Sus scrofa: one gene and its partners. The protein of the gene in region 7 interacts with the protein of the main gene of each other region in a biochemical or structural test. Links are inferred from orthologs where the notes say so. Each region holds a gene or a part of one and is shown on either strand. Other genes may lie near its edges. The genes, in order: TUBA4A, SNCA, FKBP5, MAPK3, HDAC6, GSK3B and MAPT.

Region 1 (4,098 bases), on a different chromosome or scaffold from region 7:
TACTGGGAAAAAAGACTTTGTCATCTTTCATTGCATCCCTTGCTACACCTTGCCTAAATAAGGTGTCAGTCAGCTATTTTGTTGGTAGAAAGTTGCCGTTGTTAGTTATTTTATCCTACTATGCTGTATACTCACCAGCCCTGGCCCTAAGAAACACTGTGATAGGAGAAGCAAGTGAGTCTTTTTCAAGTGACTAGTCTTGGAGACAGGTTTCTTAAGGATGTGCCAGTAGGCATATAGGGCACTTCTGATGACTTTCCCAGTGAAAGGAGACAGCTAGGAAATGTAAGGCACACAAAGGAAAGCAGACATAGATTGAAAAGTCCATTCCTGCAAGAAACAGAAATGAAACATAAAAAGAGGGAAGAGCTTCAGTGAAGACGTCCACCTGAGCGATGAGGGTGTTGAGATGCAAGTCACAAATCCTGCCCATGGTTTAGGGACAGAAGAGGATGGTAAAATCAAAATCAACCATAATGTCAGAATCTCCATTTTCTTTTTTTCCTCCTCAGAGTCAACAAACATTGTGCTATCTCACGACAACGCGTTCTGGGCGGAATCTTGTCTCCTCTTCACCGGTGAAGATGCCAAGGACTCGGTGAGGTTAAGTCACTTGCCCAAGGTCATATAGGGCTCCAGCAGGAAAGCGGGCAGGTGGCCATGGCGAGGCCCAGCTAATAGTGACGGCTCTGATGACGGGACCTCTGACTCGCTGGCAGTCGGCTAGCACTGGCAGATTCTGGGGGTCGGCCCTCGCTGACAGATTGTGGGGTCGGCTCTGCGGAGCAGCCGGAAGGATCGGCAACCTGGGGCTCAGGCTGTGCAGCTCCGGGTCCTCAGCCGCCCACAGGCATCGGCGAAGGCCAGCGGTCCCCGCCGGGGACCATCAGGCCGCGTGCGGCTACAGAGGGATCCTGGGGGACGGGCCAAAGCCAGGCAGTCGGCCGGAGCCTCCAGGGAGGCGGGGCGGGGAGGGCACTGGCGAAGGCTGGGTGCAGCCACTTTGGAAAAACAGCCTCTACGGCACCCGGCCTAAGTCAGAACACCTGAGCGACAGACGCCCGCATGATGCAGGTGCAGGCGAGACACGCCCTGGCACCGCGCCCAGCGTCCCAACCGCGGAGCTTGGGAGCTCGGAGTGTCGGCTCAAAACTAGGAGGGAAGGGTTAAAGCCCGGGTCGCTACTCCTAACCCACGTCCGACAGGTGAGCAACGCGGGCACGCTGAGGGGAGGGGACTCGCCGGGGCCCAACCCCTCACGGCCGCCTACCCTCCGGGGGCGGGGCCTCTGGGCCGCCCAGCTATTAGTGGGCGGTCGGAGCGCGCGGGCCCGCCCCCCGCGTATAAGAGCGGTGCGGCACTGCAGCTAGCGCAGTTCTCACTGAGACCCGTCACCCGGACTCTACGTGAGACCCACCGCCCGGACTCACCATGGTGAGTGCGGCCCCGCCAGCATCGTGCCTGTCCCACAAGTGTCCCCTCTCTTTCGGGGACCCTCCCTCCCGGGATGCTCGGGGCCCTCCATTAGGAGTTCTAGGTCTTGCGGAGGTTTTTTTTCTGGGGGGGGGTGCATTCTTTCCACCCCACCCCCTCCCCGTGACTTTGGGTGGGCAGCGTTGTCCACTTTCGGAGCCTGGGGAAGGAGGTGGAGTGGGGTGGGATTCTTCACTAGCAAATAGGAGTCCTCTGGAATCTCCTTCTGCTCTGCAAGCATTTGTGCCCTAACCCTCCTGGGGGGAGTCACGAGGTCCCGCGCCCAGTCCTTTCTGCCGGCGAGGGAGACCCGTTCGGCTGCCCTCGGCTCCTAGCCTCCCACTCACTCCCTAGTCCCTGGAACTAACCCAACACGTGCTCGGGGCAAGAAAGTGGAAAGGGGTCAGATTACCTGGTCCACCATCACCTTTTCCTCCGACTACGTGAGCATCCCTCCTACCCTCATGCCTCCCACCCGTGACTCAGCACCCCTCTTCTGAGCCTAGAGGGGTGGCAAGAATGGGGTTCGGCCTCGTGAGGCGAGCCGGACTCTCTCCAACAGGAGTCCGGGTGCGCGGACGGGCAGAGACAGCTGGCGCTGAGCGAGAGCACGGGCCGGGGCCAGGTTGGGGGGAGGGGAAAGAGGTGTGTGTAGGGGGTGGTATTTATAGCCCAGGGATGGGGGCCGAAATCCAATCCTCGCTTTCCGCTGGGATGTAACTTGGAAAGAATCTTAAAGGAGTACGAATGCAGGGCCGGAGTGCAGGATGGCGCTCACCCTGTCCAGGGCCAGGCGGGTTACCTCTGAGGCCTCACCGCAGGTTCCGCTTCCTCTTCTGGGTATTTGGAAACCGTCACCCCGCCATTTCGGTGTTGAAAAGGGAGGCTGCGCCGGCCCTGCAGCTGCACCGCTTTGGTTCTTCAGAGGTTAATTTCAGACTGGCAGGGATGAGCCTAGGGCAGCGAGGGCCCCAGTGCCCACAACCCTTATTGCGGGTGCCTGCCGTTTTTTGCTCTCTGCAATTTCAGTGCCTGCTCCGCAATGGATGAAGGTGGTGAAGATACCCAGAGTGTGGGGGTGGAGGTGGGGAGAGCAGCCAGATGGGATTGATCCCAGAGCCAGATAGGATTTAAAGTGGAGGAGGGCATCCTGATGGCTCATGTGGTCAGTTGATGCCAGACTGGAAGGCTGAGACACCCCTGCAGCCCGCAAGAATGAAAGGGGGCGAGGGTTATATGACATCCTAGTTGTTCATCCTCAAAGCAAAGAATTAATCAAACAGGGGACTTCTAGCTACACACATTCATAGTTCTGGAAGACCTTCTGTCTCTTCTGTTGAGAGCTGGTTTGTGGGAGTAGGAATTGGGAACAGCTGAAAGATCACTTGTCCTTGTCTCAGTTACTGCAGTGTTCGCCTGTTTCCTATGCACTCGCCCTCTCCGTCCTCCCCGAGTGTCCTATGAATGTGGCGGGAGCATGCGGAGCCCTAGCTCTTACCTGACAAGGTCCCCACGGAGAAGCAGGCTGAGGAAGTGGCCTGCCCTACTGGGTGCCCCTAGTTGGGAAGTCTTATGCAGGGGAGCCTGGGCAGGCTGCCAGCCTCTTCTGACCTCTGCCCAGCCCCAAGCCTCCACTTTAACCAACTGAGTCATCCAAACTGGTAGGTGATAGGGTGGGAGAAAGGCTCATGAGGTAAGGACTTCTGTATGTGGGGCTTATGCCGTGTCCTCCCTCTCTATCCTTCAGCGTGAATGCATCTCAGTCCATGTTGGGCAGGCAGGTGTCCAGATGGGCAATGCCTGCTGGGAGCTCTACTGTCTGGAACATGGGATCCAGCCGGATGGGCAGATGCCCAGTGACAAGACCATTGGTGGAGGAGACGACTCCTTCACCACCTTCTTCTGTGAAACTGGTGCTGGAAAGCATGTGCCCCGGGCAGTTTTTGTGGATTTGGAGCCCACCGTGATTGGTGAGAGGAAGAGGGGGGTGGAATGGAGGGAATGGAAAGTGACTCTAAGCTTCTGTCTAGAGTGAGGGTGTCTAGACCTGGCTTTCCTGGCCCTGAAAACCCCTTGCCCTGCTAGACACTAAAGAAGGCAAGTTGATAGCAGACTGGCTGGGCAGCAGGTCTGGGTTTCTCTCACCCACTGCTATCTCAGGCTGGCAGAAGCATGAGCTCTTCCATACATCTGACCACAGCTGCCAGGCTGGGGGAGGGGGGGTCTGTGCTGAGCCCCGCCTTGTGGTTTGTGCCCTAACGGTGTGGTTTATGTCCTTCCAGATGAGATCCGAAATGGCCCCTACCGGCAGCTCTTCCACCCAGAGCAGCTCATCACTGGGAAAGAGGATGCGGCTAACAACTATGCCCGTGGTCACTACACCATCGGCAAGGAAATTATTGACCCGGTACTGGACCGGATCCGCAAGCTGGTGAGAATTTGGGATGGAAGGGAGGGAGCTCTTGAGATGATGCTGGTGGTCAGAAACAGTTTTTTTTTTTTTTTCAGATCTGTTTCATGGGGTCATCTCTAATTGTACATGTGCCGGAGTCTGCTATGGCTATGGAACACTCATTAGTCTTACTTAGCCTTGACTCCTGAGGTGTTTTAGGCTTTTGTGGAGCC
Region 2 (4,195 bases), on a different chromosome or scaffold from region 7:
CCGCTGCTTCTGCCACACCCTGTTTGGTTTTTTCAGCAGCAGCCACGACTCCCTCCTTGGCTTTTGAAAGTCCTTTCATGAATACATCCATGGCTAATGAATTCCTTTACACCACACTGGAGAACACAAAATACACTTTGAGAACTTTGGGGTAAAACAAAACGAAATTAGAACCACCCAAGGTAAAAATCACTGAAAGATCAGTAGACTCCCCCGCCCCCCCCCAAAAAAAATGCAGGACTCTTGTAGGTGTACCTCTGTTTCAACCACTGGACAAAGCAGCCTTTTTTTAGCTTTTGCATTAAAAATTTAGCATCTCCCATCCATCTTGTTTGGTGGAAGTCTAGCCTCCTAAACATGGATTGGGATGAATCATCTGAGTTGTTCTCACCGCATTCCAAGTGGAGTTACATGAAAGGACTTACCCCCTCCCCCCTTTCAATTTCCCAGGGTCCAAACGATGAAGGTGTTAAGTTAGAAGTGCGTTTAGAAGACAGATCACAGGAAACGGAAAAAGGAGCTGGAGGAGGGGGGGTCAGAGATACTCAAAATAAATCCCCCAAACAGCTAACAGGTTGATCAGGAAGAGGGGTGGGAAGAGAACCACTCACTCTGGGTGTGGCTGAACCCCAGGCCAACTGCAAGCCCACCTGCAGTGGCTCTCACCCACTGGACGCTGTACCCCACCTTCAGCTGTCTACCCTGAGCAGGCAAGCAGGAGCGTTCACACCTGCAGGCAGTCTCCGGATGCGCGCCAGCTGCCAGAGGTGGAGTTAGCCCGCTGAACCCGCCACCCACCCGGCGCCCAGCACCTGTTAACCCCTTCCCACCTGTTGACTTGCTCTCTCTGCGCTTCCATTTAAAGGCTTGCCCAATACAGCTTGCTTACTTTACAGAGAGAACAGAGAGGGTGGGCTGGGGGATTTAAGGAAAGTAAGAAATAAAAGTTGAATAGTTATAATCCTTCGAGCATCCTCGACTTTCCCAAAGGAAAAGCGTATCCCGGAGAATCCAGACCGCTCAGCCTTTGAGGACGAGAAGAGAGGTAAGCCGAGTCAATTTACTTTCCTCAAGCTCACCAAAGGGGTCAGTGCCCACCTCTAAGAGAGACTCGACTATGGCAGGTCCTCACCGCAGCACTAACCCCCCCCCCCCCCCAGGCGCCGCAATGACTCTTCTCCCACCAGGTTTTCTCCAAGATTTCCCAAGCTGCCCACTTAGATTCACAGGTACTTACCTGATTCCCTTGGCTCCTGAGAACTCCGATCCTCCCCGCACCCACTTAAAAAATTTTAAAAACAATTCCTAAATATTATTTAAATGGGAGGGAGGAGGATAGGAGCGCACAGGAAGGGTGGAGGCGGCACCAGGAGAGGGATGGCCCTCAGCGGAGGCGGCTGTCGGCACAACCCTGGGGGGAGAGGCTGGGGGCGTGGGAGGGAACCCGCGAACCTGTCGTCGAATCGCCACTCCCCGTCCCCCGCACGAGAGGATTCCAGGCAGAAGAAGGGAGGAAGGGAAGGCGGCGAAAGAGCGCCAAGGCTGCCAAAGGCAAGGCGCGGTCCCCGGGTCTGCTCCAAAGCCAGCACACACCTCACCCCCACGTCGCTGCGCTCTGTCTCTCGCCCCCTCTCCTGGGTCCCCTTCTAGTGGTCTCGGTCCTTCTCCTCGTCTTCCTCCTCCTTCTCCTCCGCTCCCCGCCCCCGCAGCGGATTTGTCAGCGCCGCTCCCCGCCCCGCTCCCTGCGCGCGTTGCTTTCCCCGCCGCGTGCACTTCACTCCTCTTCTCGGATGGGGGTGGTGGGAGGCTGTACCTCCAACGCCAGCCGCCCGCCTGGGCTTGGGAGACTGGAAGGTGGGGTGTTGGGCGGTTCACCTCAAGTTCAGGGGCGCCCGGGCTCTGGCGGCGATCCGGAGCTCTGAGGCTTGGGCTGATGTCTGATGTCTGTTTCTCTCTCCCCATCCCCCCTCCTTCCCAGTCTCCGCCTTTCCCCCCGGTTTTTCCTGCGGACCCCCACGTCATGAGCCAGCCCGGGGAAGTGGGGTCTGAGGGCTCTACCACCAAAATAGCGCCAGTCTTTCGGGGAGCTGCTAAAGGAGACAGGTAGCTTCGGAAGGTACCCGCATCAGGACCAAGCGCAGGTTTCCCTCGCATCACTGAAATTGGATGAAGGGTCCTTAGGACACAATGTTAACGAAGCTTTTGTTTAACTATTCTCCGGATTTAACGTTTGTTCTTAACCTCTCCTGAGCCCGAAGTGGTCCGGCAGGTGGAGAGGCGACTAGTAAGGATGAGTTACAGGTTGAGGAGGCAGGAGGAGGCTCGTCAAATCCTCTTCCCACCCCACTATCACCATTTTCTTTCCACCAATCAGCGGCTGCCAGACGCTGATTTTTCCCATCAGTGGATCAAGGAATAAATATTCCCCAGCCGTCGAAACCCAGCGGCTGTAAGGCGTTTTGTTCTCAGAATGGGATTTACTTTCCAGATTCCTGTTCCTGGATGGAAGAGATAAATCCAGAGTGACTGAGTCTCCTGAACCGTCATATCCAATTTCATGGGCCCCTTCTGAAAAGAGAGATTCCACATACCACTCACCTTTCCGACTACTGATTCACGTTGTCCTCGGGGCTGACAGGCTACCCCATCCCACACACAGACACACAGACATACACATGCACGAGCTTCAAGACAATTTTTGCATTGCTTGACACAGTTTCACCTTTCAGAGCTGGAGGGAAAACAGCTGTTCCTGGATCACACCGGAATGGAGAACCAAGCTCCTCCCCCTAACAGACTGCCTCTGCTTGCTTTGCCTGGAATAGGAGGATGCTTTTAGAACTGGAAGGGGAAAAAACAGGTCTTTGCAGATTTTTTTTTTTTTTTTTGCTTGTCTTGTGTTTATTTGTGTGTGTGTGGGGGGGAATTTCTCTGATCCTTGGACTCACATTCTGGAATGTGAGTAAAAAGTAATTTAAATCTACAAAAACAACAGTTTGAAACCCAAAGAGATGGGAAGCAAGTATATATATTGCTTAACCTACTCCTTGCACTGATGGTCGGCCCTTTTAAAAAGTAGGCTTTCTAAAAACGCTCCTATTTTGTTTCCTGGGGAACTTGGAAGGAAACTTGGAAGTTGGTTTGCTTTTTGGCTTTGAGAGCCAATACAAGTTATGTTCAGTTTTCTCTTGTAAAGGGAGAGGAACCAAGATGATCCCTCTCTTTTCAACTTTTTATTATGGGAAATGTTCAAACATACAAGAATGGAGAGAATAGGAATTCCTGTTGTGGCTCAGCAGTGACAAACCCAACTAGTATCCGTGGGGATGCGGGTTCCATCCCCAGCCTCACTTAATGGGTTCAGGATCCTGCATTGCCATGAGCTGCAGTGTGGGTCAGGGATAGGGCTGGGATCTGGTGTTGCTGTGGCTGTAGTAGTAGTATAGGCCAGTAGCTACAGGTCCAGCCACCCCTGGCCTGGGAACTTCCATATACTGCGGGTGCACCCCTAAAAAGCAAAACAAAAACAAAAATAGAATAAAGGACTCTCCATGGAATATCACCCAGCTTCCACTGTTTTCTTTCTTCTTTTTTTTTTTTTTTGTTGTTGTTGTTGTTGTTATTGTTGTTGTTGCTATTTCTTGGGCCGCTCCCGTGGCATATGGAGGTTCCCAGGCTAGGGGTTGAATCGGAGCTGTAGCCACCGGCCTACGCCAGAGCCACAGCAACGCGGGATCCGAGCCGCGTCTGCAACCTACACCACAGCTCACGGCAACGCAGGATCGTTAACCCACTGAGCAAGGGCAGGGACCGAACCTGCAACCTCATGGTTCCTAGTCGGATTCGTTAACCACTGCGCCACGACGGGAACTCCTTCCATTGTTTTCTAATGCAGTCAACCACGTGCATCTGCATTCTTGTCTATTCCCTATATTTATCACTACTCCTTCCCCCAATTTTTACTAAATCCCAAGAATTATATATGTCTTTTCATCTGTAAATATTTAACCCTGCATCCATAAAATATAAATCTTTTAAAATAAACAATACTATTTCAATGGTCTTTTCTCAATTTTAAGTAAGATTTATAAACAGCGATAGGCTCAGCTCTTGAGTGTTCCCTTAAAACAGTTTTGAAAAATACATGCTGGGAAAAGCATCTGAAAGGGAATGGAATGTGTGTACACGTAGAACT
Region 3 (4,158 bases), on a different chromosome or scaffold from region 7:
ATGACAAATTATGAGATATAAATTACTTCGAGTACTTGAATTTTAGTGTCTCAAATACTACTGAAATATCCTTACTAACTTGTTAGCTACATATACACAAGGCCCTACTATAAATTATTTTAACCTGTCTCATTTGGCAGACCTGTCTTTTACACAATAAACAAACATCTTAGTCGCAAAAAAAAAAAAAAAAAAAAAAAAAATCGCACTTCAGTGGCTATTGCTTTTAAGTCAATAATCATGTGATGTACCTACCAATGGCCGCCTAATCTCTGATGAATGTACATTTAATGTCCCTTACACTTTTGGGGACATAATTTCAGTAGTTAAAAAACACTGTAAAAAAAAAATTCAGAATGTAAAATGAAAAAAATCTAATTTCTAATCAGCTAGGTTAAAAGTTCAAATAGTTTCAGAATTATAAAATGTATAGAACATGTAACTGTTCAGCATAAAATAATTACAAATTTAGTGTGCCAAATTATGTAACTATAGGCTTTTATTAGGAATTGTGAAAAATTACATTAAAGGCCTACAGAGACTATTAATGAGAGATACAGCAAGCATATTACTGTTAAATAAAACAGTATTAATATCTGAATTGTGAGATTTATCCTCAAGTTTAGTTGGTTTAATGTGTTCCGGTTTTTTTGTGGCTTTACTCGTTAAAAAATATTTTCCCAGCCTCAAACTCAAAGGGAGCCACACCTGAGGGTTAATGACAAAAACATTCCCAATGTAAACTGTGTAGATGCGATAATTCAACTTATGCTTAAATTTGAAACTGTAATGTGGCTGATAATTTTATGATATGGTCTACCACAAGTTAAAGTAAACAAAGTTAAAGGGGACAAAAATCAGCAATTAAAGTGTGTAAAAACTGAATCTGAAAGCAATCTTTTAATTAAAAGTCACTTTTATAGTTAAAGTTCCCAAAATATGCTTTTGTGTAAATGAAACTATGAAATGTAGCTTTATGATATGTGGTATATTTAAGCATCATCACAGGACAAAGATTTTATAACTAATTACACACAGTAGTTAAACTAATATTCCCATACACTTTAAAGAACAATTAATTACATAAATCGCTCAGAACCATGAGAGCCCGGGTCTCATAAAAGTCTTCAAGTCTATTTATATAGAATCAAATCCACTCTGGACAAGTCACTGTTCAACCATTCAACCTTCACTAAGCATCAAAAAGGCAACTCAGCTTTCAATAGAAATTACTTCTACACCTATATATACAAGGATGGTCTTCCTTTCCTAGACCGATTCGTTCTAAGCTAAGAAGCCTTGAGGAAACTAAACAACCTATTCAATCCAAGAAAAAACAGAAAATTGAAGATTTCATTAGTTGTCTAATCTAATATTTTAAAATAGTCACGTTGAACTGATTAAAATTGTTTTAAAAAAGAAATTCACCCCAAATTCCCATCCCTAAAAAATTAAAGATTCAGAAACATACTTGTTTTGTTAAATGTTTGAAAGACAAGGACCTCTCAGCATATAAGCCTGTTGTTCTAAAGAAATAAAACATTTTATAAAGACCACTTTGTTTTGCTTTTTTTTTTAATCCCCAATAGTCACAATTAGCTTATTGGTTAGAGTTCACCTTTAAAAGGTGTCACTAATTATCTAAATAACTAAAATTACTATTCAACGAAACACTAATAAAGTAGCATACTAAATCAGAAGTATAACTTTATCACTAAGTTAAACTTACATCTAAGTATAAACCATACCTAGCACAGACATCAAAAAGACATATTAGCAAAGAAAATCTAAATCAACTGTTTATCCAATACGTCATTAGTAACCTTCATAACATATTTTTAAGTAATTACTACATATTATTTTAAAACTTTTTTTTCCCTATAGGTGCCCTAAATTGGTCAGGGCCATAACTGCAGAGTGTTAAGCAGAGGTCAGATGGGAGAGGCAGAAACAGAAAATGTTAAGTATGACAAACAAAAACGTCCCACAAGAATAAGTTTTCACATCCATCTTTGAATTTGGACTCAAACGCCCAAGAGGAAAAGTTACTCTAATTCTCTGGAGACCTCTTCTGAGGGGCAGGGGTGGAACGGTGGGGGAAGGAGAATTCCCAGAGACAATTAAAAACACTCAACCAAAATATGCCTTAACTTTGCCCTGGTCCGCAATCTAACAAAATGGGAAGACAATGAACATAAACACTCCTGTGTGCCCTCAGAAAAGCAAAGAAAGCTCCCATTCAATGCTCAGCCTTATTCCACTCCTGTAAAGTAAATCCAAAACCACGAGCTCAAACTGCTTCATGCAGAATTTACTGAATGGCGGCCAAAGGCTGTACACGCTGTCCTGAACCACACAGAGGGATATCTAGAGTTCTGCATTCTCCATTTACAACTTGTACCTTACCATGCTTTCGCCACCGCTGCAGAAGCCCATTTTCAAACTGAGACTACGACGTTCCTCCCCGCCCGTCCGTGTGAAGCAGGTTCTCTCCCGGCGGGAGAGAAACTTCGCCTTCGCTCTCCCGGCCCCCGCCCAGTTTTTAAAAAATTGAACTAGTTTGACTCCTCTACTGCAACCAGCACCCCTTTTTAGAAGTCATTAAGGGTAGATGCGTTCTAACGCCCCGGAGTGAATTGAATACGGAGCCCTAAAACTCCTCAATGGCCTTCACCTGGCACTAAAATAATCACCTGTTCAAACTGAGCGGCCCTGGCACCCTCTAAGCGCGGCCGAGAGCGGGAATGCTGTTCCAGTCACCAGTCCCGGGTCTGCAGGTGAAGGCGGCGAACACACATCCACACCCACCGCCCGGGGAGCGCAAACCGAAAGCCAGGACCGCGGCGGCCGGACGCTCCGTTATCCTCGCCCTGCGCGGGCCCCGCCAGGTGAGCGAGGCTCCATCGTGCCCGCGGCGTCCCGACGCTCGGCTCACCCCAGCTCCACTTCTCCCGCCGCCCGGGCCCGGAAGGCGAAGTTTCTCTCCCGCCCGCGGCGGCTACTGCTCACGCGCCGCCCGGCCCTCCCGCCAGTCCCGCCGCCTGCTCCGGCCGGCCGCAGTCACCGGCGCCGGGCCTCGGACGAGCCGGAGCCCGGGACCTGTCACCCCGGGCGGGAAACAAAAGCCGGGTGAGGACCAGCGGGCGCCACCGGCCTCGCCTCCGCGAGGGGGAGCGCGGCGGGGGCGGGGAGCGGCTCTCGCGGCCGCCCGGCTCCGCGCCTCCAGGAGGGAACCCCGGCCCCGCGGCCTGGCGGGACGCAAAGGAGCCCCGCGGCGGGCTGGGGACCTCCGGCGCGTCCGCCTCGAGGCTTCCCCGGCCCCTCTCTCCCCGACGCGCCGTTCCCGGACTGGGGAGCCGCATGAGGAGGCGGGGAGGCGGAGCGGGAAGGCGGCGGGACCGCAAAGGAGGAATTCGGCTCCCGGAGCTCCACGACCACCCGCCCCATCCTTGCGGCCATGGCGCCGGTACCTGTCGCCGGGGTTGCTCTACTGCTCTGTCTCTCCCCGCCTCACCCGCACGCAGCTGTCCCCTCAGCCCGCCCAGCAGGCCGCCCGCGCGCCGGACGCCGCCGCCTCCAGAGACTGGCAGCGCCTGCGAACCGGCCCGAATCCCCCGGGCAGCGCCCGGCGCCGTCCCGCCCCCGCCGGCCGTAGGACCCGCCTTCCATAGGGCCCCGGGGCCGTCAGTCCGCCCCCAAAAGGCGCGCGGGCTGTCGCTCTGCCTGTTCGGATTGGCGGCCTCGCGCTGTCCATGCAAATAAGGCCCCGCCCCCGTCCATTTGCACCTCCGCCTTGGTGTAACCTCCGCCTCTCCACGCCAGCCCACGTGTCTGGCCCTTGCCCTTTGTGGGGGCTGGAGGCAAGGGATGAAGGAAACTGACCCACACCCCCTCACACCGTTCCTTGCCTCCAGGGAAATTAATGCCTAAATAAGCTTGTTGACTTAACAACGGGGTCTCTCCCTGAAAACTCTGTCCCCCTTCCTGCCCACCCAACCTGCCCCGTGGATGGAGAGGGGCAGGCCAGGCTGTTTGTGTCAGGTAAGCAAGCCAGGTTAGCCCCAGGAAACACCACCAGGAACTCAAAGTTGTCTCTCAGAAGTGGGAAAATCCCACCCGGAGAACCGTCGCACATAGCACTTTTCTCTGGACTTGCAG
Region 4 (2,733 bases), on a different chromosome or scaffold from region 7:
CATTACTTTGCTTCTCTGTGTCCAGCGGCCTGTCTACTCAGGCAGCTGCAGGGCTCATGTACTTTCCCCTGCACCCAGGTTTTTTTTGTCTTTTTGCCTTTTCTAGGGCCGCACCTGCGGCATATGGAGGTTCCCAGGCTAGGGGTCCAGTCAGAGCTGTAGCTGTTGGCCTACGCCACAGCTCACAGTAACTCGGGATCTGAGCCGCGTCTGCGACCTACACCACAGCTCCTGGCAACGCCGGCTCCTTAACCCACTGAGCGAGGCCAGGGATCGAACCCGCCACCTCATGGTTCCTAGTCAGATTCATTAACCACTGAGCCACGACAGGAACTCCATGCACCCAGTTTTTACCAAACACACACTGGCTCCCACGCTTCTCTCACCTTTGGGGTCCGACTTGGGGAAAAGCTTGGCCCAGGCCACCTTGGTCTTGGAGGGCAGAGACTGCAGGTAGTTTCGGGCCTTCATGTTGATGATACAATTCAGGTCCTCCTGGGATGGGGAGCCCAGGATACCTGTGGGTAAGCAGGTGACCCGGTGAGCAGCCTATTCCTTCTGGGAACGAAAGGAGCCAAGAACAAACGCTCCTACCAACTTACTCGAGGACGACAATTATCTCACAGCCGATACTGCGCTGGCAAAGAGCAAGAGGTCTGGCTCTGGGCAGCCCTAGGTTCAAATCCCAGCTCTAGCTTTTCCTAAGTGTGGGGCAGATGTAGTCTTGCTGTTCCCATCTATCCAAGGGGGACACTCTCAAGTGAAATACTGTGAAATGCTCAAGGGGCTGCACACACCGTGGTCCCCCCGACCTGCCTCTCACAGACTCTCGGACACTGACCCTGACCTTTAAAGAAATCTCACCTCCAATAGGCTAATCCCCCGCCCCGACCCAGCTGGCCAGGCCCCCCCTCACCCAGAATGTGGTTGAGCTGGTCCAGGTAGTGCTTGCCCGGGAAGATAGGCCGGTTGGAGAGCATCTCAGCCAGAATGCAGCCCACAGACCAAATGTCTATGGACTTGGTGTAGCCCTGGGGAGGAGGAGAAAGTGGCAGGCTCCCACCCCAGTCTCAACAGGGCCCTGCTGTTTGGGCCAAGCCACCTCCCGCCCCCATCCCTGAAATCTAGGTTCAAGGCCAGCCAGGGAGGCAGAGGGCAGAGGCCCAGAGAAGCTAATCTGCAGTTTTGTTCCCAAGAACCAGAATGAGGTGACAAGGCCCGGGAGGTGGACTTCCTGCATACGGGCACGGGGGATGTCAGTGCCTGGCTCAGAGGCGACTCCAGGGCTTTCTGGAACCCGGCCCTTTCACTTCATGGGTTGTGGGGGCGGGGGGGCTACCTTGGAGTTAAGCATGATCTCTGGGGCCCGGTACCAGCGCGTGGCCACATATTCCGTCAAGAAGCCAGTGTGGTCATGCTCGGGATCCGCGATCCGGGCAAGGCCAAAGTCACAGATCTGGAAGGCAACCCAGGCTGCTAAAGCTCGGGGCTCAAGACCGCCTGGGCCCAAGCAGTCACAGGGCCATGCCGCTGCCCGTGCGGTTCCCTTTGCTCGTGATGCTCTGCCACCCCTGGGTGCTACGGGTCACCGGGAAGCCTGAGACCCAGGGGCAGGATGGGCACCCAACCCTCTGACCTTAAGGTCGCAGGTGGTGTTGATGAGCAGGTTGGAGGGCTTTAAATCCCGGTGGAGCACGTTGGCGGAGTGGATGTATTTGAGGCCCCGCAGGATCTGGTAGAGGAAGTAGCAGATGTGGTCGTTGCTCAGCTGCTGGCTTTTGAGCAACTTGTACAGGTCTGTCTCCATCAGGTCCTGCACAATGTAGCTGCAGGTGGTACCAGAGATTCCCCCCCCCCAGGTGGGGGCGGCAGGTGGCACTTGGTTAAGAAAAACAGGCTCTGGTGACTAGGATGCGCCCCTCCAGCTGATGCCCCTGGGACTTAAAGACCTGCCAGCTAACCCTAACCCTAACCCTAACTTAAAGACCTGCCAGCTTATATGAGCAAGGCTCATACTCAGCAGGTGGGCTCAAGACCTCTGCTGGCGCTCAGCTGGTGACCCCTGAGCAAAGCACTTCAGTTACGTGGCTTCCGTTTCCCTACTGGGAAAGGGAGGACAATACACTGCGGGAGGCAGGAGAGCGTCACAGTTAAGAACAATAGCTCTGGGGAGTTCCCTTTGTGGCTCAGTGGTTAAGGAACCCGACCTGGATCCATGAGGATGCGGGTTCAATCCCTGGCTTCGCCTCAGTGGGTTAAGGATCTGGCATTGCCGTGAGCTGTGGTGTAGGTTGAAGATGCAGCTCAGATGTGGCATTACCGTGGGCTGTGGCCGGCAGCTGCAGCTCTGATTCGACCCCTGGGCCGGGAACCTTGATATGCTGTGGGTGCGGCCCTAAAATGCAAAAAAAAAAAGAGCATCAGCTCTGGAGGTCACCTGCCAGCATCTCAATCCCTCCTCCACTGCTAATGGGTCTTATGACCTTGACCATCTATGCCTCTATTTCCGCATCTGTAAAGTAGGGAAAAGAACTCTTCTTTAGAGGAGTTCCCGCTGTGGCACAGCAGGTTAAGGACCAGGGTCACCCCAGGTGCCATGTGGGTTGCAGCTGTGGCTTGGAGTCGATCCCTGCTTTGGGAACTTCCACACGCCACTGGTGTGGCCAAAAAACAAATAAACAAACAAAAAAGGAATTGTTCTTTAGAGAGGGTTGTAGAGATAAGCTGAGATGA
Region 5 (4,161 bases), on a different chromosome or scaffold from region 7:
CTGTAGCTCACATCCTCACCTCCTGCAGATCCCCACTCGCGTACTGAGGCCTCCCCTGACCACCCTATTTATTCTGGTCTTTTTAGGGCTGCACCCACAGCACAGGGCAGTTCCCAGGTTAAGGGTCGAATTGGAGCTGCAGCTGCCGGCCTACACCACAGTTCACGGCAATGCTGGATCCTTAACCCACGGAGCGAGGCCAGGGATCGAACCCGCATCCTCGTGGATCCCAGTTGAGTTCGTTAACCACTAAGCCACGAAGGGAACTTCAATAGTAAAGTCTTTTGACATCCTGACTCTTCCACTGGGATAGGGGTGATAGATACTAAACTGGTGAATACATAAGTATAACAACAGACAAACAATGACATGGCTAGGAATAATCTGAAGCTCAGGGGAAGGGGAGTGGCCAAGCAAAGCCCTCTCTGAGGGTCTCCTGGAGACATGACTGTTAACTGGGAGAGAAGGTGGAAGTGAATTTCTGGAAAGGGCATTGGCCAGAGTAAAGGCCTGAGGGGAGGGAGTGCCTGGCATGTTGGAAGCACAGTAAAGGGACCAGTGTGTGTGAGGTGAAGCGAAGCAAAGCGAATGAGGGGGAGGACTGGCTGATGAGGTCACCAAGGTGCTAGGGAACCAGATCACGTGGAACCTTAGAGGCCAAGAGGCTGGGGTGAAGAATGTGAACTTTACCTTCAGGGCAACAGTTTGCCCTTGAAGGACTTAAAGAGAGAGAACATCATCTTATACATATTTTTGGCGTGGAGGGGGAGCATGGGCAGCAGGGCTGAGGGTGGGAGGCCTCTGCAAGTCTAGGTCAGAGATGATGGTGGCAGCAATGGAGGCGGAGAGGAGAGGTGAGATTCTGAACATAGAGCCAAAAGGATGTGCTGATAGATTGCAACGTGTGACTCTTCTGTATCAGCACAGACATCCCTTCTTCAAGGAAGCCTCCTGGGAACCCTGGATGCTAGTCTAGGGTCCTCTATTAAACACTTCTGACTCCCCTGGTCTCGAGTCCTTCTTCATGAAAACACCTCACACTGCTGGCGGCTGTTTGATGACCTGCTCTCCTTATCGCCTGTCAGCTCCTGGAGAAGGATCCCTGTCTATCTGGTCTGATACATCTGTAATCACCATCCCTGGGCACACAGTAGGCTCTCAATAGATATGTGTTGACTAAATGAAAAGAACCCATTCGAGCCTGAGCCTCGTCTCCCTAGGTCATGTGCTAGAGTAAGAAAGGATTCATTCTTGCTAATGGGCTCTAAGGGTGTATGTTTGTGTGATTTGAGTATGGCCTGGAGAAGCCAGCCTCACCTGTCATCCCAGAGGCAGTGGAATTCATTTAGCTGCTCATCCAACACCAAGCCAGTGCCAGACGGTGTCCTGGCCTCCAGGTTCAGATCCTGTGAGGAAAAAGAAAAAAGGGAAAGGCTGATGCATTGAGAGCCTGAGTCAGAGGGAACCTCCCACACTCTCCAGGATGGAGAACCTCACGGTTTTGATTGTCACAGGAGGCTACATTGCAGCCAGGCCCCCTCTCACCAGCCCTTGGAGCCCCACGATTAGGTCTTGCTCGGCTGCTTGGCTAAGCTTCTTCATTCTGCCTTTCTTCTTTACATCCGCTAGATTGGGGCTGGAGCGGAGTCCGGCACCCTTTTTAACACCTCGCTTCTGCCAAACAGAGAGAAGGGTCAGAGTCCAGTACACGGCCCACTGCTCCCCCTCCCCCTCAAGAGGGCCGGTCAGGGGCCTCACCGAGGTGACGCTGGAGTCGTGTGGGGGGGAGTGGGGGTTGTGCCTACTTCTTCGCTGCCTGGTTGTGGTGGAATCCTGGCCGGTGGAGGTCATGGCTGGGGAGACTTCACCCCTGACGCGGTTCTGGGGGGTGGGATGGAGGTGACTGAGAAGGGGCCCCGAGCGCCCTGAAGACCCCTCATCCCAGCCCCTTCCCAGGCCCCGCCCCCTACGCTAGCCTCCATCCCTTAGGCTATCTATTCCCCACCACCTCTAAACTCCGCCTCTCTCAAGGCTCTCTCCCTCCAAGGGGGTGTCCATTCCACTTGGTCCCGCCCATTCCACGAGGCTCCACCCCTTTACACTATTCTTTACCCTTTCGGTCTGGCTCTTTCACAGAGCAATTAACCCCCTGGCCCAGTCCTGATCTAAGCCAGCCCTTGCCAGCTAATCACCGCCCCTTTCACTCTATCAAGCCCCATTCCCAGATCCTTTCATTCCTCAAAGCCTCGCCCAGACCCCACCCCTTCGCAAACCTGCCCTGGCCAGCCAATCTCCCAGGATAATCACCCACCCTTTCACTCAGCCAGCCCCAGCCCCGGGCCCCGACTCCACCCTTAACGATCCACTTAACTCCACCCCTTATCGGGCTGGACCGGCACCTTCCACTAGGCTAGATCCCGCCCCTAACGTTTCAAGGAGCCCAGCTCCTCAGGGGACTGCCCTTTCCCTTCCGCCAGGCTCCACCCCCTGCCCAGGCCCAACCCCAAACGCTTCCCCAAGCCCCTACAGCCATTTCCGAGCCCCTCCCCCAGACCCGCCCCCCCCTCCCCGCCCCCGCTGTCGACGTTGACGAATCCCTCCACTCACTTGGCGCAGCCCCTTTCTCAAACTCCGCCCTTGGCGCGCGCCGCCAATTTCTCGGCGACCTGTAGGGCCGCGGGTGCCTGAGCCTCTCTTTTCCATTGGGCCAGATCTCTCTACAGCCCGCCCCGATCCCGCCCACACCGGGGAGAGCCGGCCTTGCGCCTCCAGCGGAACGCACAAACGGCGGATCAGCGCGTCAGTGCGCGACGCTGGCCGTGCCGCGCCTGCGTGAAGCGCGCGCCGGCTGCCTGACGCGGCGCTCGGGCTCAAGCTTCTCCCCTCCCCCAATCGCCACAGCTGTCACCCTGGCGGTCGTGACCGCGGTTTCTTTGTCCCTGTCCAGTTACCTTAGGAGCCCACCGGACTCGCGCCAACTGTACCGTGCGGTGACTCAAGAGTGCAAGCAAGCAAGCGAGGGAGTTAGGAAAGGGCGTCTTCTCCCTGCCCCCTGGCTTCCCGCGCGGCGCGCCGTGATGACGTAGCGCGGGCGGGCTGGTGGCTGGGCCTGGAGCGCGGTGGAAATTGGACGAGGCTGGTGGCGGCCAAAAAGGGAGTGGTGATGATGACAAATGTGAGAATTTTCTGAGTTCATATTCACTAAGGTGGTACGCAAGGAAGCACTCACCAAATGTTAGCTATTAATAGTCTGCCGCGAAAATGGATGGTGGAATGGAAGGGGGAATGATCGTGACGATAGCAAGTTGTATGTGACAGGCATTGTCGTAAGCCACAGTTCTATGAGGTACTTCCCAGTACTAAGGCTGCTTTGCAGATAAGGAAACTGAGGTTATGGGACTTAGCCATGTGACTTTGGGCAAGTTACTGAACGACTCTGTGCTTCAGTTTCCTCCTCTGGGAAATTGTGATAATAGTGCCGGGGAGTCAGAATGGACCTTGGGAGGGGAGTTTTTCTTGGGTGACAGCTCTTCCTGTCTGCTCCCTCCAGTGGGTAACCTCTGCACGCAAGCTGGAATAGAAAGTGTATGGGTAGGGGGGAGTTGCGCCCCCCCCCCACAATGCGCCCTCCCAACTCTCTCCCACCCCATGGCTAAATGTCTGAATATCAGCCTCGCAGGAGGCCGGTTTGTCCTCCTAATCTCCCTCTCTCATTCTTCACCATTTCCTACCGGGCTGTAGGCTGGGGCGGGAGAGATAAGGGGTCTGGGGTTCAGCATCGCTGACTAACCAACAGATTGACAGCCCCACCGCCCAGTAGCTGGGCCCTCTGACACTCTTGCAAACCCGTTTCAACCTAGTCTTCCCTTCCACTCTTTTCCTACCTGAACGTGTCTTTTGTCCCAGTGGAAGAGGGTCGCAGCTAAAAGACCTTTACACCTCCACGTACGCCAGAGAAAACATGTATATGCAGTGATAAACACAGAGGAACGTTCTGAGGTGATGCTTGCAAAGTGAAAGAGTAGGGAGTCTTGTAAGGGCCAAGACCCACTTTTTTTGTATAGTCAGAAGGGAGGTTTCTGTACAACAAAGGTTGGCAAACTTTTTCTGTAAAGGGCCAGATAGTAAATATTTTAGGTTTTGCAGGCCACATACTGGCCT
Region 6 (3,500 bases), on a different chromosome or scaffold from region 7:
CACAGTATTAAGATGCACATATCCTAAATCTAAAAAGGAAGGTCAAATATAGGCTTGTAGGGTTCAAAAGGCTCCTGTTGAATCAGCAACTTTTGAATCTGATCTTAGTCATGCAAAGAAGGCTACTAGAGAGTCAGTACTCATAACATCCAGAAAATCGATTCTTAATAGAGAAAACAGACTACACTTGACCTTCTTTTTGAGAAAGGATTCCCAAAGAACTGCTGGGCACATGGACATTTACAGAAGTAATGTACTCTTAAGAGGGTCAAAGGTTTATATAAACATGCCTTAATATGTCAGTGCATGACTTTTAAAAAGAAGCAAACTGCATTTATTTTAGGTGCCCCTGGCAAAACTCATCCCAGTATGCATCTCATCCTGGTATGCACATGATTAGTTTCATATATGTGAATAAAACAGAAAGCAGCTAGAAAACCCAAACTCTCCAAAGATAAAAAGTGTTGAAATTTGCTCTTGGGATAGAGTCAAGTTAACAAATACCACAAAAAGAACACCACTTCATATTTCTTTTTTTTTTTTTTTTTTTTTTTGTCTTTTTAGGGCCAGACCCCGAGGCATGTGGAAGTTCCCAGGCTTGGGGTTGAATCAGAGCTGCAGCTGCCAGCCTACCCCATAGCCACAGCAATGTGCAATCCGAGCCATGTCTGCAAACCACACCATAGCTCACAGCAATGCCAGATCCTTAACCCACTGAGGAAGGCCAGGGATCGAAACTTCATCCTCATGGATGCTAGTCAGATTCCTTTCTGCTGAGCCACGACAGGAACTCCCACTTCATATTTCTATAGTACTTTCACTAACATTTTATTTAATCCTTACAGCCACTCAGAAAGGTAAACAGAATGGTTTGTAATCTCCACTTTATAGCTTAGCTGAGTAGCAGTAAACCTGGACCTCAAATTTTGGTCTATTCAACCAAAACATCCATTATACTAGTTCTCATCTGTCCCTGAACATATGCCTTATAACATAGCCATAGTGAAACTTTTGAGCATTTTACACACACAGACACAGACACACACACACACACACACACACACACATTATTATACTCTCTATCTTCCAGGGCGGCAGGTCTCAAGGTATGATCTGCAGAGCACTGGGTCTCCTAGACCTTTTCAGAGGTGCTGAGGGCAAAGTTATTTTCATAAGCTTCATTTTTCACTATGTTGACATTTGCACTGACGGTGCAAGAGAAATGGTGAGTTAAACTACTGGCCTCATGGCACAAATCAAAATGTTCTTTGGCACTTTGCCCTTTGGCAAAATAAAAATAACAGTAATGTGTTTCTGTTTAAAGGTCTTCATTCATACTAGAGAATTTTTACATGTTATCAAAAGAGAAAAAGTGTCCAAGTTCTTGTTACTGTGAGCTTTTTATTTTAGTTTTTGTTTGTTTGGTATTTGCATGCTTTTGTTTGTTTCTGAACTAAGGAATACTCTTCAGAAACAATATATAACAATAAAATAATTTTGACCTCCATCTGCATGTCACCCTAAGGTTGCTCCAGCTTCCTATTCATGCCCACTGAAAATACTTGTGCACCCCTACTAGTGAGCAAAAATAGAGTAGAAGAGGTCAATGAAGAATGAAGAAAATTGTCTCTATTCAATTGCTTCTATCATTAAAGATCTTTAGTGGCAACTTCTACAGAATTAATGGGTCTATCCAAACTACTAATTGAAAAAGTCAAAACTGTTCCTTTTGAGCTGACTTAAATAACCAATTGAAACAGCACAGTAAGACTCAGTAAAATGGTAATCCTACCACTTTACTCACGAACTTAATGAATGTAAATTCTCCAACTAATAATCAAGCTCAAAAGTGGGTATTTCAGGGTAATTTTTCTTTTAAGTGAAGAAAAAGTATACTTAGAATTTATTTAAAATTTTAAGTTAAAAATAACTGTAATCCTAGAGAAATCATACAATCACAAAGGAATAACTTTATTACTTTTTCTTATAATCCAAGAAACCTCAAAGTAGAATAGTAAATATAAATTAAATTCTAAGAGATGAAATTCTAAAAATTATATACATTTTTGTATATCAATCTTTGAGAAGAAACATATTTCTAAAAACAAGATGCAATTAATAACTACAACCCATTATATTCAGAATCAGTACTTACCTATACTAGAGGTATAATCAGTGGCTCCAAAGATCAACTCTGGTGCCCTATAGTACCGAGAACAGATATACGAAACATTGGGTTCTCCTCGGACCAGCTGCTTTGCACTAATAAAAGATCAAAAGCAGAAATTCTTTAAATTAAATCTAAACTGTAAATGAAACAAAACTGCTATCATTTGCAACACCGAATGTTTATCTAAGATTCCCATAATTCCTGTCATGCAACATACAGGAAAAAGAAAATATGAACCATAACTATCTCTGACAAAAGAAACTTATAATTTTAACACACCACTCTGAAAACAAAAAACAAAAAACAAAAAACAACAGTTACTTTTAAAGAGTGCATCTGACAATTGTTACCATGGAAAGATTTTAAAAATCACAAAGGATAAACACTATGTATCTTCTGCTCTTGTTCCCTGAATTTCACCTCTAAAATACAGAGAAAGAAAAGCAGACAAATAAGAGGTACCGCCTCTCACCAAAAAGCATAGTAATAGATTTTTTTTTTTTTTTTGTCTTTTTGCTATTTCTTGGGCCGCTCCCGCAGCATATGGAGGTTCCCAGGCTAGGGGTCGAATCGGAGCTGTAGCCACTGGCCTACACCAGAGCCACAGCAACGCAGGATCTGAGCCGCGTCTGCAACCTACACCACAGCTCACGGCAACGCCGGATCGTTAACCCACTGAGCAAGGGCAGGGATCAAACCCGCAACCTCATGGTTCCTAGTCGGATTCGTTAACCACTGCGCCACGACGGGAACTCCGTAATAGATTTTTAATATAAGAATGCTTAAGTAGGAGTTCCCATTGTGGTTCAGCGGTTAACGAACCTGACTAGCATCCAGGAGGACAAAGGTTTGATTCCTGACCTCGCTCAGTGGGTTAAGGATCTGGCATTGCCGTGGCTGACCCCTAGCCTGAGAACCTCCATATGACGCAGGTGGGCCCTAAAAGACACACACACACACACAAGAATGCTTAAGTAATATGTTTTTTAAAAGGTTAAGAAATCAGCACTCTCTTATAATTTGACTTCTGACTCGGTACTTCAAGGCTTACAGACCCAATCTATTTTATTTTTCCACCATTTGACCAATTTATTAACTGTCTAAACATTCATTACCCAATTAAAAAGACCCTTTCCTGTAGGACAGATAGAAAGCACAGTCTATGAATTCTAATTCTGTTGTCTATAAAGATTAATCACACCTTCTTTTAATCCAACTTTCCTTCCCAAATATTTTATGGCATGCATTTTAAATATTAAAGTAAATTAAAATTTTTTGCAATGTTTCTCAATATAACTTGAAGACAAACTGAAATAAAAAATGCTATAGA
Region 7 (3,500 bases):
CCCTGCTCCGGGGGGTCATCCACAGAGAAGAGGTGCAGTTGGGTTCAGGGACCTGGGGCCCTATCTGGGGTCTGGCAGGAAACAAGGCCAAGGGGCCTACAGGTGAGACCCATCCCCCCAAGAGCAGGTAAGATTTACAGAGAAACATGTTTCTTTTTTTTTTTTTTTTTTTTTTTAATTTTTTTTTTATTTTATTTATTTATTTTTTTGTCTTTTTGTCTTTTGTTGTTGTTGTTGTTGCTATCTCTTGGGCCGCTTCCGTGGCATATGGAGGTTCTCAGGCTAGGGGTTGAATCGGAGCTGTAGCCACCGGCCTACGCCAGAGCCACAGCAACGCGGGATCCGAACCGCGTCTGCGACCTACACCACAGCTCACGGCAACGCCGGATCGTTAACCCACTGAGCAAGGGCAGGGACCGAACCCGCGACCTCATGGTTCCTAGTCGGATTCGTTAACCACTGCGCCACGACGGGAACTCCCTGGAGAAACATGTTTCTTGTCTCTTGTTAGGACTCCAGTTGTATGAGTGAAAAAGAGCAGGATCAGACTCATATGTAAAATCCAGTCATCCCCCTGTGAGTTACCCCTGTGTCATATGTATTCTATACATGAGGGAAAACACCAGGGGAGAAAACCAACTGATGGGTCTTAATGAGTGGCCGAGCATGCAGGGCCCACTCTACAGCAAACTCACGAAACACCATGGCAAAGACACGCAGCAGACAAGGGCTTCGAGCAGCCACCCCAGGGTCAAGGAGCAGCAGAGGCAGGGTGGCACCAGCTCAGGCCCACACACAGCCCACACAAGACCCGCAGGCCCCTGGGCACTGCCCCAGAGCCAATGCAGGCCAGACACTTCCCGCGTCACGCATGGTCTAAACCCAGTTGGCTGGGACAGTCACCGGGGCAGTGGGACAGGGGCGCTCAGCCTGGATGTCCCCAGTAGAAGCAAAATGGCTCACTTGAAGCCTTGCCTCAAAGACGTGTAGGTTTTATTCACAGCAGCCAGGGGAACAGGCGCAGTGAGACTGCTCAGCAAAGACCCTCAGACAGCCCTAACATCCCAGCAAGTGAGCAGGGGCTGCACCCTGTGTGAGGTCACCCCTAGTGACCTAGGCCTCATCTAGGGGCTGAAACACCTCTCATCTCTCCTGGATAGGGGTTGGAGAAGCTCAGTGAAGGCCTTTTCCCATCAGTTATTAGTCTTGTGGCTGCATTTTCCTCAGGTTCAAAGTGCTCTTAGACTTAGTTACACAAACTTTCAGAGCCTTGATTTCCTCAAGGTAAAAAGTGGGGATTCAGGAGTTCCCACTTTGGCACAACAGGATTGGTAGCATCTCTGCAGCACCAGGATACAGGTTCAATCCCCAGCCCAGCACAGTGGTTTAAAGGATCTGGTGTTGCCACAGCAGTGTGGGTCGCAACTGTGGCTTGGATCTGATCCATGGCCCAGGAACTCCATATGCCATGGGTGGCAAGAAAGAAAGAGAGAAAGAGAGAAAGAGAAAGAAAGAAAGAAAGAAAGAAAGAAAGAAAGAAAAGAAAGAAAGAAGGAAGGAAGGAAGGAAGGAAGGAAGGAAGGAAGGAAGGAAGGAAGGAAGGAAGGATTCGATATCTAGCTCCGAAAATCAAAAGAATTAGAAAACAAAAGTTCGGTGCTTAGTAAACCACAGGTGACGTTCAGCGACCAGGGATTAACCATGAGAGCCTCCAGAGGTAGAATCGTCTACAGCCAGCTCTTCCCCTGACTCGGATGCCAGAGAACACCCTTCTTACCAGAGCCCGGCGGGGTCTTCGGGGAGGGCGTGGTTTTTGCTGGAATCCGGGTGGCATTGGCCGGGCCTTTCTGGCCTGGAGGGGCGGCTCCCCGGGGTGTGGCGATCTTGCTTCCAGGTTTACCATCCGCCCCCTGTAAACCGAAGCACGGTAGAGTGGTTTTTACCATTGGGAAAGGTTCCTGCCACCCAGCGTCAGTGCCAGCCCCATTCTACCACCTCGACTCAAAACGAGGCTAAGATGGGGTGACCCTGTGTCAGCCAGATGCAGCAAATGCCCTCTGCAATCACAAGGGTTTGCTGGGCACACAAATCCACACCGGCCACCAGGTGCCCTGACTGCCGTTTCCTCCTGGAGGAACAGTGCACAGGAGTTACCTGCACAGGCTGAGCGAATGTACTGAATAAAAAGTCAGCAGAGGTTACAGTGATGATCAAGTTCATCACCCGCCCAGTGTCGGCGGGCAGATCTGCAGACCCTCCCTGTGTGGGCAGCACCCTCTGACTCCCCTGAGGGATTTATCTGACTGGTGGTGGTTAGTTTCGGAGGCACAACTGAACCTGACTGAGGTTGCTAACCGAGCTTGGTCCTAATCTTCTGTTCTCTTCCAAATGCGCCTTTAAGGGGTCAGTAACCCCTTAGGAGCGCTAAGAGCCCTTGGCTAAGAACACCAGCTTCGATGAGCACATGGGCCGAAGGTGGAGCACAGGTGCACAAGCACGGTCAGCTGACCGGGGGGCAGGTGTGGGGTCTGGTGACCTTGACACATACACAAACTCAAAAAAGAAACTGACATTAACCAAGGACCACAAGATGGTTCAGGAAGGAGTGACCCAGTGGGAGAGGCGTGGCTGCAGAGGGATGCTGTCCAACCCAAAGGAGGGCAGTCAGGAAGCACTCCCATTACCAAAGTCAGGACCCCCAACAGAGCGGTGATTTTTCAAACCAGGGACCCCTCCGGTGCCTCGGGATGCTGCTAAGAGGGGTTGAGGGGTGCCCAGAAGATGGCGCTGTGCCTCCTCGTCCCCTTTCAACCAGAATTTTAACTACACGAACCTTCTAGGTAAGAATGTATCCAAAGAAAGGTCTTTGTGGCTAGGAAAGCATACATTTGAAAACCACAGGAGAGCAGCCTGGTTCTTCCCAAAAGTGGTTTCCTTACCTTGACTTTCATCTCCTTTGCTCCAGAACCGCCAGTTCGGGGTGTGACAGAAGAGACGCGTTTAGGAGAGGAAGATGGCTCTGGGCACACGGCAGGGCTGGAGGGTTTGATCAAAGGGTCTGAGCTACCAGGAGTGGGGCGTTTGGGGCTAAGGCAAGGCCTATTTTTCAGGGTTTTAGCGGAGGAAGGTGTGGATGTCTTAAACATAAACATAAATAAAATCAAAATAAAAGTCAGCACATGGGGAAAAGAACAAACTGAAAAAGGACAGACAGTAACTAAAAACAAATAAGGCAGGCAGTGATTTAAAGCCGTGATCTCCAGACTGTTTGGACCACGTACCCTTATCGGTTCCTCTCATCAGGAAGAACAGAAAGTGACCGTGCATTTGCGTATTTGTTTTTCGTCAGCTGACACACACTCTATGATGCTAACAGATGGTGTACGTTACACAAATGAGAGATGACAGCACTTTAAAAAGAGGTGGAAAGTGGAGAGAGGTCCTAGTGTGTTCTTCCTCCAGCTCCCTAGAGCCACTCAGGCCCCCCACTTGGGAGGCCG

The links.
Region 1: the proteins of MAPT (region 7) and TUBA4A are reported together in a solved structure, tested with the Homo sapiens proteins (2 studies listed by BioGRID, with this or other methods). The link is inferred for Sus scrofa from reciprocal best matches to the Homo sapiens genes MAPT and TUBA4A.
Region 2: the proteins of MAPT (region 7) and SNCA form a complex in vitro, tested with the Homo sapiens proteins (3 studies listed by BioGRID and IntAct). The link is inferred for Sus scrofa from reciprocal best matches to the Homo sapiens genes MAPT and SNCA.
Region 3: the proteins of MAPT (region 7) and FKBP5 form a complex in vitro, tested with the Homo sapiens proteins (2 studies listed by BioGRID and IntAct, with this or other methods). The link is inferred for Sus scrofa from reciprocal best matches to the Homo sapiens genes MAPT and FKBP5.
Region 4: of the proteins of MAPT (region 7) and MAPK3, one has a biochemical effect on the other in vitro, tested with the Homo sapiens proteins (2 studies listed by BioGRID). The link is inferred for Sus scrofa from reciprocal best matches to the Homo sapiens genes MAPT and MAPK3.
Region 5: the proteins of MAPT (region 7) and HDAC6 form a complex in vitro, tested with the Homo sapiens proteins (4 studies listed by BioGRID, with this or other methods). The link is inferred for Sus scrofa from reciprocal best matches to the Homo sapiens genes MAPT and HDAC6.
Region 6: of the proteins of MAPT (region 7) and GSK3B, one has a biochemical effect on the other in vitro, tested with the Homo sapiens proteins (21 studies listed by BioGRID and IntAct, with this or other methods). The link is inferred for Sus scrofa from reciprocal best matches to the Homo sapiens genes MAPT and GSK3B.

The regions. Positions count from the first base shown.
Region 1 is NC_010457.5:121,291,249-121,295,346, reverse strand, and holds the start of TUBA4A (tubulin alpha-4A chain), read left to right. Parts: upstream 1-1,298; 5' UTR 1,299-1,431; coding exon 1,432-1,434; intron 1,435-3,220; coding exon 3,221-3,443; intron 3,444-3,755; coding exon 3,756-3,904; intron 3,905-4,098. UniProt on the Homo sapiens protein: Tubulin is the major constituent of microtubules, a cylinder consisting of laterally associated linear protofilaments composed of alpha- and beta-tubulin heterodimers.
Region 2 is NC_010450.4:129,246,329-129,250,523, reverse strand, and holds the start of SNCA (alpha-synuclein), read right to left. Parts: upstream 2,801-4,195; 5' UTR 2,723-2,800; exon of another isoform or gene 2,599-2,722; intron 1,966-2,598; exon of another isoform or gene 1,238-1,965; intron 1,121-1,237; exon of another isoform or gene 1,099-1,120; intron 750-1,098; exon of another isoform or gene 426-749; intron 349-425; exon of another isoform or gene 256-348; intron 117-255; 5' UTR 92-116; coding exon 1-91. UniProt on the Homo sapiens protein: Neuronal protein that plays several roles in synaptic activity such as regulation of synaptic vesicle trafficking and subsequent neurotransmitter release.
Region 3 is NC_010449.5:31,547,031-31,551,188, forward strand, and holds the start of FKBP5 (FK506 binding protein 5), read right to left. Parts: upstream 2,801-4,158; 5' UTR 2,694-2,800; intron 1-2,693. UniProt on the Homo sapiens protein: Immunophilin protein with PPIase and co-chaperone activities. Component of unligated steroid receptors heterocomplexes through interaction with heat-shock protein 90 (HSP90).
Region 4 is NC_010445.4:18,293,678-18,296,410, forward strand, and holds part of MAPK3 (mitogen-activated protein kinase 3), read right to left. Parts: intron 1,827-2,733; coding exon 1,637-1,826; intron 1,457-1,636; coding exon 1,340-1,456; intron 1,032-1,339; coding exon 917-1,031; intron 519-916; coding exon 387-518; intron 1-386.
Region 5 is NC_010461.5:42,916,852-42,921,012, reverse strand, and holds the start of HDAC6 (histone deacetylase 6), read right to left. Parts: upstream 2,801-4,161; 5' UTR 2,704-2,800; coding exon 2,608-2,703; intron 2,466-2,607; exon of another isoform or gene 2,312-2,465; intron 2,301-2,311; exon of another isoform or gene 2,274-2,300; intron 1,882-2,273; coding exon 1,759-1,881; intron 1,675-1,758; coding exon 1,546-1,674; intron 1,407-1,545; coding exon 1,318-1,406; intron 1-1,317.
Region 6 is NC_010455.5:140,289,609-140,293,108, reverse strand, and holds part of GSK3B (glycogen synthase kinase-3 beta), read right to left. Parts: intron 2,263-3,500; coding exon 2,156-2,262; intron 1-2,155. UniProt on the Homo sapiens protein: Constitutively active protein kinase that acts as a negative regulator in the hormonal control of glucose homeostasis, Wnt signaling and regulation of transcription factors and microtubules, by phosphorylating and inactivating glycogen synthase (GYS1 or GYS2), EIF2B, CTNNB1/beta-catenin, APC, AXIN1, DPYSL2/CRMP2, JUN, NFATC1/NFATC, MAPT/TAU and MACF1.
Region 7 is NC_010454.4:17,124,391-17,127,890, forward strand, and holds part of MAPT (microtubule-associated protein tau), read right to left. Parts: intron 3,138-3,500; coding exon 2,940-3,137; intron 1,911-2,939; coding exon 1,778-1,910; intron 1-1,777. UniProt on the Homo sapiens protein: Promotes microtubule assembly and stability, and might be involved in the establishment and maintenance of neuronal polarity.